Alligator mississippiensis: one gene and its partners. The protein of the gene in region 3 interacts with the protein of the main gene of each other region in a pairwise test. Links are inferred from orthologs where the notes say so. Each region holds a gene or a part of one and is shown on either strand. Other genes may lie near its edges. The genes, in order: WDR62, EFHC2 and MAPK9.

What was found.
Region 1: the proteins of MAPK9 (region 3) and WDR62 interact in binary tests that used the Homo sapiens proteins (3 or more experiments, as listed by UniProt). The two-hybrid records come from large-scale screens. The link is inferred for Alligator mississippiensis from reciprocal best matches to the Homo sapiens genes MAPK9 and WDR62.
Region 2: the proteins of MAPK9 (region 3) and EFHC2 interact in binary tests that used the Homo sapiens proteins (3 or more experiments, as listed by UniProt). The two-hybrid records come from large-scale screens. The link is inferred for Alligator mississippiensis from reciprocal best matches to the Homo sapiens genes MAPK9 and EFHC2.

What each region holds. Positions count from the first base shown.
Region 1 is NC_081838.1:953,527-957,272, forward strand, and holds the start of WDR62 (WD repeat-containing protein 62), read right to left. Parts: upstream 2,500-3,746; 5' UTR 2,456-2,499; coding exon 2,345-2,455; intron 1,900-2,344; coding exon 1,808-1,899; intron 1,093-1,807; coding exon 1,030-1,092; intron 319-1,029; coding exon 261-318; intron 1-260. UniProt on the Homo sapiens protein: Required for cerebral cortical development. Plays a role in neuronal proliferation and migration.
Region 2 is NC_081824.1:302,541,981-302,545,726, reverse strand, and holds the start of EFHC2 (EF-hand domain-containing family member C2), read right to left. Parts: upstream 2,684-3,746; 5' UTR 2,524-2,683; coding exon 2,482-2,523; intron 1-2,481. UniProt on the Homo sapiens protein: Microtubule inner protein (MIP) part of the dynein-decorated doublet microtubules (DMTs) in cilia axoneme, which is required for motile cilia beating.
Region 3 is NC_081832.1:73,863,272-73,867,017, reverse strand, and holds the start of MAPK9 (mitogen-activated protein kinase 9), read left to right. Parts: upstream 1-1,093; 5' UTR 1,094-1,194; intron 1,195-1,660; 5' UTR 1,661-1,801; intron 1,802-2,996; 5' UTR 2,997-3,176; exon of another isoform or gene 3,177-3,258; intron 3,259-3,746. UniProt on the Homo sapiens protein: Serine/threonine-protein kinase involved in various processes such as cell proliferation, differentiation, migration, transformation and programmed cell death.

The DNA of each region.
Region 1 (3,746 bases), on a different chromosome or scaffold from region 3:
GGGCTGATTTGGGAGGGAAAAGGTGCGTGTGGTATGTGAGAACATAAAGTAAGCATTACCAGGTCAAATGGCCAGAGTTCAAGTAGTGTCCAACCTGGAAAGGCTTCTTCAACCCAAAAAGGTACCAAACGGACATTGTTCCTAGTGTTACTATGGCAGCCAAGAAGTTACTCCCAGATTTCAGAGCATTTGGCCTTAGCCAAAAAAGCAGACACTTCATTACCAACAGGACTACGTTAATATACTATAGCACAACTCACTTCACCAGTGACAATGAATTTTCCATCGGGTGAGAAAGACAGAGCACTGAGTGTCTTCCTGGAAGAGAGAGAGAACATCTTCAGATTACACTGAAATGTTATTCATAACATTTACACTAGTTTAACCACCCTCACAATGCCACTTGAACCACACAGACAGTAGCTGTGGGCAGTGTTGCTGGTCGTACATTTAACCCGGCTTGGAGCCGAATGAGAGATTGGAAAGGGAGACTGGAAAGAGTCCGGCAGAGAGCAACATAAATGATGAAAGGCCTGGGAAGCAAGACTGATGAGAAAAGGTTGAAAGAGCTCGGGTTACTGAGTCTGGAGAAGAGAAGACCGAAGTGGGATTTGATAACAGTCTTCACATCTCTGCAGGGCGACGACAGGGGATGGGGATGGGCTTTTCTCTGTGGCTGGAGAAAGGACTAGGAGCAACAGCCCCCAGCTGCAGCAGGTGGAACCGAGGTTGGTAACGAGGAGGAACTTTCTGACTCGGAGGGTAGTCGAGCATTGGGAGAGGCTACCTAGAAAAACTGTGACATCCATGGAGATTTTCCAGAGCAGGGTGGAGATGCACACGGCTGGGGTGGGTTAATCAGGGCTGATCCTGCTGGGAGGAGGGGGGTGGACTAGACGTCACTCCTGAGGTCCCTTCCAAGCCAACTTTCCTATGATCCCATAGGCCTCAGCAGCCCAACCCCCCCGAAAAGCACATCTGGAGACCTATACGCTATCCACACGCCAGCAGATGAAGTATTTACAATACCTGGAAGTATTAAAGATGTGTCTTTGTTTATTCTTTTGGGGATTTAAAATCACAACCACACATCTGAAACGAAAAAAAAGCAGACAAGGCATTTGCATTACTGAACATGCAGTTTGGTTCGCAGTGGTGGCGGCTGTCGAGGAGAAGCCGCCGTCAGAGTTTGGAAGGGTCGAGGGTTTGCTGCAGAGAGAAAAAAGCCACAAGCGAAAGCAAAGATCTGGCATTTTTAGAAGGGGGGCTCGAGTCTAACGGGCCTGAGAACCCCTGATTTAGGGGCTTACAGGTACTGCAATATCAGGTCAGATCCTAGGACGGGGTGGGCAAAATGCAGCCCGCGAGGCCCCTAAAAAATTTAGAAATGTAATATTTTTCTGCCCGTGGCTGCCCGTCACGCGGCCCTCGATGGCTTGCCAAAACTCAGTAAGTGGCCCTCGGCCCAAAATAACCACCCGCCCTGTGCTAGCAGGAGATCTAACTTGTACGCCCACGAGCAGCCCTACGATGTCAGCCTCCACTGACAGAAAGGCGACCAGAGCGACCAAGCCCGCGAGGAATCGGGCGGGACAGTTCCAGCACGGGAGCTGCGCGCTGCACAACTCCAGCACAGCACGGTCCCCGATTCTGCGGGTTTCCCAGTTGCCGCGGGAAACGGCGGGTTTCCCCTTGCGGGGGGTAGCGGCCCCGCCTGCGAGGGGCTACTTGGGAGCGGATCCCGCCGGCCCGGCCCGCGGAGGGGCTACACCCCACGCCGCCTTCCCCGAGCAGCCCAGACACTCACCCGGCCGGGTAGGCGATCCGCCCGCTGTTGGGGTCGCAGGCCAAGCCGCTGCTGGTTTGCGCGGTTATGCCCAGCACTTTCTCCAGCATCACCTGCCCAGAGCAGAGAGAGGGGCAGTGAAGCCCAGCACCTGGGCCAGGCACCCCTATCTCCACTGCCTGCTCAGCCCCCATCCTCGCAAAGCCCCGCCCCTTTTCACCAGCCCCGCCCCTAGTCCAAATAGCCCCGCCCCCTACTTCGCGTAGCCCCGCCCATCCTGTGCCTCACCCAGCCCCCTTTAACCCCCTAGCCCCGCCCACCGCGCTCCCGTTATCCACGTAACTCCACCCGCCCACGCACATCCCCACCTGTCACCCAAGCCCCGCCCCTTCCTTCACTATAGTCCCGCCCACCCTGCTCCCATTGTCATCCAAACCCCGCCCACCCTGTACGTTTCCAAGCCCCACCCCTTATTCCACACTAGCCCCGTCCGCCACACCCAAGCCCCGCCCCTAACGAGTCACGGGGCGCCCCTCCCTCGAAGCCCCGCCCCCTCACCGCCTCCTCCGGCCCCTGGTGCTTGGACCTCCGCCGGAGGCTGAGGAGCGGCGGCGAGTCGGCGCCGGAGCCGGGGCCCCGTGTGTGGTAGCCGCCGTCGGCCGCCGCCATCTCCCGCTCGCCCGGCCGGACCCAACCCCCGCAACCGCTCCGAACCGCGCGCGCCCACCCCCCATTGGGCACCGCGCGCGCCACTCAGCGCCCGCTCCCAGCCAATGGCGGCGGCGCTGACATGAAGTCCCGCCCTCCCCTCGCGCTTGCCGAGCCGCTCCGTCCAGCCTCAGCCAATAGCAACGGCGTTTGCATCATACACTCGTGCCCCGCCGACGGGCGGCCTCCAGTGGCCAAGAGGCGCGTCAATCGCGGCCGCTCTCAGCCAATGGTGGCGCCCTGTGTAGGCCCGCCCCTTTTCTCGCCTCTTGCGCTAGGGTTGGCGGTTCGAGCCCCAGCCCCTCCACCTGGAGCAAACTTTTAAATAACTTTTTCTTAGGCCTGGTGTGTTTGTCGCGGCAGCCCCTGCGGGCGGGCAGCGTTTGTACCCCGGGCAGAACAGGACTGCGGGGTCACGAGGCCAAAAGGAGTACCGTATTTACTCGCATACAACACCCCCGCTCATAAAACACCTTGTTTTTAAAAGGGAAAAAGGGGGAGGGTGAAATTTTTCCCCTCAAAATGCCAGTTATCCAGTATCAGCTTCCAGCACCACCAGCAGGCAGGGCACCCCTTTTGCCCCGGGATCCAGAAATGGCTGTTACCGTATTTCCTTGCTTAGGATGCGCACCCCAATTTCCCGGAGGAGTTTTCCATCCATGACTCCTCTGTGCAATGCTCTGAAATGCGAACTCTCACTTCTGCCCAGGACAGCGTTCGCAATCTTTTCTCCGATGCCTGATGAAGGGCGTCTTGTGCCCGAAGGCTTTCAATTAAAGACGTTATTTTTTTCTTGCAAAAATCTTGCTGGTCTAATAAAAGATCTCGCCTCTACAACGAGTCCTGATTGCCTTTCCCTCTAGACCCATACAGCTACAACCCGGGTACCGCCCCCGTGTCCAGCACGGGATCTCTAACCATCGACACCACGCAACATGTGCGATGCCGTAACCACCCAAGAGACCCCCACACGCTTGCTGTGCCCCCCCGTAATGCAAGAACAGAACAGAACGAGATCTTGAAATAAATTGTCCTTATTAACTGGTAACACTCCTGCTCCATTGTCTTAGACTTAGCAAATGGAGCCCTGCCAATTGTAGCTGCTGCCCAAGCAGTTCCCGGCGTGGGTGAGATAAGTGGTCGTGCGCCCTAGGGCTAGCAGAGGGAGCGCAGTGCAATAGTCAGAACAGGAGGGGAAGGGGCTCATGGGATGTGGAAATCTAAAATAAATAAATAAATAAAGATTTTCAGG
Region 2 (3,746 bases), on a different chromosome or scaffold from region 3:
GATATGAAAATAAGAAGCAAGAAGTGATGAAGCCTGTCTCATGGCTAAGGAGACACTGAGCACTGTTGGCAGATTTTAAAAAAGTACAGAACCCAAACTATAATAAGACGCAAAGCCCTAAGCACCAGAAAATCATTTTGCAGGCCCCAACAAGCACAGTCACGATTGCCATTAGGCTAGAGTCACTGCCAATAATTGTCACAAAAGTTCAACTAGATCCACTGAGAGAAATCCCAATTAAACAAATTTCCTGATTACGCATGTATAGATTAGGGAAAATAGACTTTTCAGCTTCTCCTTCTGCCATTCCTATTGACCTTCACATTGGCTTAGCAAGTGAAATAACAGTACCACCAGCAAAAGTGATGGTAGCAGTACTAAATGACAATACACAGAGCAACAAGAAGAGGAATAGCATAAAAAGCAGCAGTAATAATAAACCAGGGGGTGACAAGAGCAGCAAAGACCAGACCAGTCATTCCTGTCCTGGAAGTACTATTGCTGTTGCTGGTTTTATCCACAGCCTGGTGGTAGGGTTTGTAGTAGCAGTAAATGTCATTTGTTTCCATCCTACGGTATGAAAGCAATGCCCTCCAGACATCTAAAACATCTGCTGCTTCTGCTGCTGCTCTGCATCTACCATTCTCATGGTGAAGATGGAGAAAGTTATGGCAGCTGTGGTAGGCATAGTCCAAATAGTTCTAGCATCTGTTTGTTTGAATATGGCCTCTTTGGACTTTAATTTGTGAAACTATATGGATAAAAATTAAGCCCAACAGCCAACAGCAGAAGCAGGAGGTAGAACTGCCTCTCTACAACTACCGAGCATTCAAACTGTAGGAAGCATAACAATAGGGGATGAACTAAAGCTCTGAATAATAGCCTAATCTGGTTTCACTGTTATAACTGGGACTTGGTTTTTGTATCGTTAGTTGTCAGAACTATATATGCATTGTGTGTGTGCATATATACATTCACAACACAGACTGCAGAAAGAGGCCTACTTATATATGTGCATTTGAACACATCCACCATTTGTATGCATCCCCTATCTAGACCTCTAGTGTGTAAAGCTAAGTACCATGTCAGATTTGTGACTATGTAAACTTCACAGCTGTCAAAAATTCTATTCAGAATTTAAGGGGCAACTCTATGCATCCTGCTCAAAAACCAAAAACAGGATATTATCTATCAGAAACTAGGTTAAGCTGTGCTTCTTCCATGCATGGCCCATCACTAAGGTACCTGAGGAACCACATACACACCAGCCAGTTCTTTACAAAATATTCTAAACTAGATGTCACAAGACAAGAGAAACAACTCTGATTTTACAATTTGCTGTAAAAATACTGTCTTATAGATTTACAAATTGTCAAAAGTACTTATGGCACTACACCTACACTACAAACTTGTGGATTATTATCCCTAACTTGTTTAACTCTGAAACATTCTCTGTTTACAGTGTATTTGTCTTCCTTTTCTTCTTTGTTATATAAATAACAAGAGTTGAAGCTGCTAAGTTCCTCAATTCTTCCCTGTGTGCCAAGCATTTCCTTTTCCAACTTAAAAACAAAAGCAATTTTTGAGTGCTTATAGAACAATATATAACAGACACAAGGCACGGCAGAGTGACACCTTATAGGCTACCTAATTATAGACTAAAATAGACTGAAATAGTTAAGTCTATAATGTGCCACTCTGCCTTGCCATCCCACTGACTTCAGACTGAAATAGCTAACTGTGCGTATATATGTGTATGTATATATATGCGTGCGTGTGCACACACACCCGCATACACTAATACTTTGTTCTTGCTCCTATTTCACCTCCTGAATAATACAATAAAGATGGCAAACTCCAGAATTTAAGCTAAGTCTGCTTTCGATATCTGCTGTTAGTCCAGTCCATGCATGACAGGAATTTTGCCACAGATTTCAACGAAGACAACCGCACCCCCGTCAATGAACAGAATGTTTGGCGCCTCGGATCTCATCTGCACCTACTTCCCTGACCGTCCAAAGAAGCGATCTGCTGCAAGCCTAACACAGGCAGGCATTCGGTCTCTCACATTCACCCTGCTGCAAGCAAACCTGCATAATAGCATCGCAGCATCCGTGACCACAAAACACAGCAGGGAATGAACTTACACCTTCAGTCAGTCCTCGGGGCACCAACCCAGCAATGGCAGCACCCCCACGGGGACTTTCCTTGACTTTCGGGGCTAGGTAACCTCCTGCTTCCCTAGGGCTCGGCGATCCCCTCCGAGCAGGGGCCAACCTGGTGCTGAAAGCCGCCATGCCCCTTGACCCCCCTGCCCCAGAGGTCACACGCGCACCCTGCCTGTGCCTGACAAGGTCCCAGAAGCCAGGCCTTGCAAGCAGCAGGTCGCCGCAGCTTCCAGTGACCATGCACGGGAGCAATACGGCCGGGGACTGGGGGTGAAGGGGGCGGGGGAGAGCCGCCGGCCCGGCTGTCACTCACGTTCCTGTTGAAGGAGTTCCCGGGCAGAAGCGGCAGCGCCATGCTCGCCCCAGCCCTGGCCCCGAGGGGCCCGCTGCTGCCGCCCGAGCACCCCCACACCTGGCCCGGCGCGAGCTGTTTGGCATCCCGTTGCCTAGAGACCGGGGTGTGACGTCACAAAGGGAAGACTCCGCGCCGCATCCCGTTGCCTAGAGCCCCGTTGTGACGTCACAGAGGGAGCCTGCGCGTCTGAGGGCGCCCCTGCTCTCTGCTGCCCCCTGTAGCTTCGCGGCCCCAGGCCTTGGTACCGCAGGCTCAGCTGCCGCTGACCGCTCTACTGACTCCGACCGGGGCAAATCTTGTGCTATTGGGCGCTGTTCCGACGGCTCCAGGTCCTGCAGGGGGAGAAGAGCAAGGGAACAGCTGGGCTTGGGGAAGGGAGGGGGGTTGGAGGGAAGAGCCCCAGTCCTGGCCTTCCTGTAAAGGGTGAGTACATGGAGAGGTGGACTCCACTCCGGGGTGTCTAACAGCAGGGAGGCAAGTCAGTGAACCTCACCATGTCCACACGCGTGTGCACACTGTAGTGATAAGGGTTAGACCATTATTCACTGCGGAACCTAAACCATTACACACACAACACGCCTGCGCATGCTGCTTGCATTGAGGCAGTTTTGTGATTGGAGGGGGAAGGGATGTCACACATAAGCGTGCGTGTGCGCACACGGACATGATCAGGTGCTTGTACATGTGTGTGTGTATACGTGATCATGTGTGTATGTGCATCGTGTGTAGGCATGCCATGTGTGAGTGTGTGTGCATGTCATGCAGTGTACATGCATCACATGTGTACACATGATGACTGGGGATCCTGGTTTTCTCTGATTAAAAAAAATCCCCAATTTTTGGGTTAGAAAAAGCGACATTTTGCTGTGATCAAACTGAAACACCGCTATATATATATGTCTATGGATTAGTGTTTTGGTTTGATCACAGGAAGATGTGGATTTTGGGTTACTTCTTTAACCCAAAAATTGGGGATTTTTTTTAAATCAGAGAAAACCAGGATCCCTGATGATCACATGTGGATGTGCATCGTGTGTGTGTGAACACACATGTGCACACATGCATGTGCTTCTGAAAAACTCACCATCCAGTTTTCATAAAACCCAGCTGTGAAAGACTCATGAATTCCTCCCTGGATCTTCACAGTTCATGCTCCAGTTTTCCACACACCGCCTCTTCCATGACCTCATGCTTCATGGGGTGCTTGATGTCTCCTCTCCAGC
Region 3 (3,746 bases):
GTCCAGCGTTCGCTCCTTGCCATGGCATGCCGGGAGCCGCGGGGTGAGGGGGACCGGCGGTCTGATCCGCTTAATGGCAGTTCTTTTGTTTTTTCTCTTGTGAATTACAGAAAATATACAGTATCTATTATTAACTCCATTTTTTTTAAATGAGGGACAGGCGGGCGGACCAGGCAATGCCATTTTTTTCTTCCTGGTGGATGCATTGTGGTAAAGAAGAGAGGTTGAGGTCACCACCTCGGGCAGCGTCATTTGTAGCAGTCTCTTGGTTTTCAGAGACCGCATCTTGCGGTGCAGCGGCAGGCGGCTTCTTCACTGCCGCCCCCGTGTCACGGGGCCGCGTCCTCCTCCCGCCTCGCCTGGCAGCGCTTCCTGGGTGGAGCAGGGTGACGGCACCCGGGGGTTTTGGTGACAGCTGCTGACACTGCCTCGCCTCACCCTGGCAGTTGGATGGGGGGGGTGACATCACCTCAGCTGACAACGGTGATTTGCCGTGTAAATAGCCCATCATTTGGCAGTGCACTTAGGTGTGTGGTGACATCACCAAGCTGGGGGCAGTTTGACGTGGGTGATGACATCAAGCTGGGGGCAGTTTGACATGGGTGATGACATTAAGCTAGGGGCAGTTTGACATGGGATGACATCACTAAGCTGGGGGCAGTTTGAAGTGGAATAACATCACCAAGCTGGGGGCAGTTTGATGTGAGTGATGACATCACCGAGATGTGGCAGTTTGATATGGGCGATGACATCAAGCTGGGGGCAGTTTGACATGGGATGACATCACTAAACTGGGGGTAGGTTGATGTGGGATAACATCACCAAGCTGGGGAGAGTTTGATGTGGAATGACATCACCGAGCTGGGGGCAGTCTGACGTGAGATGACATCACCAAGATGGGGCGAGCGTGACGTGCGCTGCTCGGGCCCAGCCCGGCCCGGAGCCGCCCTGTCTCCACTGCAGTCCCCTCCCTTATATAGTGTCTTGAGGAGGTCCCGCCTCCAGCCGGATTGGCTGAGCGCGCCCGGCGCCGCGCGACGATTGGACGGCGCGCGCGCCCGTCAGCCGGTCTGGCCTGGCGCGGCCTGCGAGGGGCAGGGGAGCCATTGTGGCTGGGGCGGCCCTGCGAGCCGGAGGCGCCGAGCGGGCACCCGAGCGCCGCCCGCCCGCCCGGCCTGGCCAGGCCGCCGCACGGTGAGGCGCGGAGCGGGGAGGCCGCGGGGGGGCGGGGCCTGGCGCGAAGTTTCCCTCAGCCGCGGGGGTCGCCGCTGCCGCCCCTCCCCGGCCGCGGCCTGCAGCCCCCCGCGGGGCAATTCGCTCTGCGGCCCAAGGGGTTTGGGAGCCGCCCTCGCCGCTCCAGGCTGGCTGGGGCCTCGGGGCTCCTGGGGTGGACGCTGGCGCCCGTGCCTGGGGCTGGCGGAGGATGCTGCGGGCAGGCTGGTTTCCCTGCCTGGGCGACGGGGACCCGGGAGCCTGTCCTTCCCGGCCCGCGCCGCGGAGGAGACGGGCGCTCGGCTCGCCTGAGGGGCGACAGCCAGGTCCCCCCGCACCCGCCAGGCTGCAGGTGTAGGGAAGGGGGACCGGAGACGGCACGGCTCGTCTCGGGGACCTCGTCTGTTCCTTGATAAACTTAAAAGGTTTTGCTCCTTTTCCCTCTTAGCTGGACCCTCCACCTGGGACGTCGCCGTCACGTCCTTCCCCTGTGTCCCGAGCGGCGCGGGCAGCGCTTCTCAAACCGCAGTAGCCCACTTGTCTCCCATGTAAGCTGATGTGACGTGAAGATCTACAGGGATCCCATCTGGTTAGTCAGCAAGCGCCGCTTCAACCCTGCTGTTACGGGTCACGCGTGTACGCCGTCACGTGCTCGCGGCGTTTCGTTGTCCGTCTTTGCCGTGCGGTCCGTAAAAGTCCTCCGGTGATTGTCACCGGCGCTTGTCAAAACAAAAAGAAATGCAAAACTCTGCCACTCGCGGTTCAGAGATGATACCTTTCATTCGACCGACTAAGCAATCGCCCTCCCCCCCCCATAAGTCTTTTTCTGCAAGCTTTCGGGCGCGCACCCCGCTTCCTCCGGCTCGGGGAAAATTCAAGCTGGTAAAAAGTCCCCATGGGTAGGAAAGCAACTTCATTTTGCACGGAGGAAGCTGAAGGTGGGAGTGCGCTCCTCGGGGTGTCTTTGTGAGTTGCTCTTCGATGTGCAGATCAGGCAGGGATCCTTCCCTTGGGGTGTCACGTGGCAGAAAGGCAGGGAGGTGTAGAAATCTTTCTTATGTTCAGCAATGAAGCTTTACCTCCAAAATTAGCTAAAATTCGGCATCTTCCATGTAACACATCTCTGTCAAACAAAATGGCTTTCAAATGGGATCATCCGATCTTGTGCCTGTTTTTAATTTAGTAGTACAAGGCTGCCGGGTCAAAATAATGATCCTGCAGCTTTTTCAATTGATGAAGATGTGTTGCATTCTCATTGTAAAGGGGTTGTCGCTGCTGTCCATCCTTCGGAGGACGGATGCCTGTTTCCTGTTTGTGTGTTGGTCCTTTTTAGATGAAGTAATATCACGATACCAGGTGCTGAAAACCTTTTTCTGAAATTGAAGGTTTATTTCTAAATTCCAGAGGACTCCTTTATATCGACTGATGTGAAACATGATGTTCATACTGGCGTACGTGGCGTACGTGATACTGTAGTCAGGTTGTTGACTGATATTCCTTGGCTTTCATGGACCATAGTCGGAACAGAGGCCAGTTTCCCAAAGTCGGGCATTCAAAGGGGGATAGGTCCACAAGGGACTCGGGCATGTAAGTCGATATGCAGGCACCATCAGCATTTGCAAAAAAATTTTTTAACCATGCAAGTGGCTAAAGTGTCTAGCACAAGCGTAGTAGACAAGCACAAAAGTGCCTGTGTCTTGCTGTTGCCAAGCAGCTTGGTACCCCTGCGCAAAGAGAAACTAGGTGATTTCCCCACTGATTTTTTTTTTTTTGTTTTCCTGCAGGGCCTGAACCATTAGACAAGCTCAGAGCTTACCTGTCTTGCCCAGAAGTGTGCTTCTTCTTGTTCAATTGTCCAGTTACGTCCAGTATTCCTATGAGAGCCAGACACCTTGTTTGAATCCTTGTGCCCAGCGTGAAGCTGGATCTAGACCTCTGCTTTTGCACAGGAGGAGGCTCTAACTGTAAATATTTGAGGATTCTCTTTTCACAGCTGTTCTGCTTTGCGTAATGAATTAAACATTTATTTGGCCAAGGAGAGAAAAAGTGAGTACAGCTTCATAGCGCAGTGGTAAGGAGCAGTCATGAGACATGTGGGAGAGTTGGGCTCTGTGAGGGACTTCATATTCGTGCATATATAGTTGAGTAACTTCATTAGGAGATACTGAAAGAGTCTCACTCCAGAATATCAGATAACCTCGTGGTTAGGGTTAGGGTCCTCTAATTTGAGAGAACTGGCGTCCCGTTCCTGCACTGTATTGGCAGAACAGAATTTGAAAACAGCTCACATCTCTCAGGTGATTGTCCTATTTGGGAATGGGAGGTCTCTTGTATTTTTTGTAAGAAAGGGCTGACTTGGTACAAGCAGCTAACTCAGTGAGACAGTTCACAACCGAGACTCTTGCATGGAGATAGGTGCTTAACTGCTCTTGGCTTAGGTTCTGCCTGGTCCTAGCCTTTCCATTGTTACCAGTTTGCCACACAGCTTGCTTGTTTCTGTGAATTATTTTAGGTCTCTATCTTTCCCCATATAT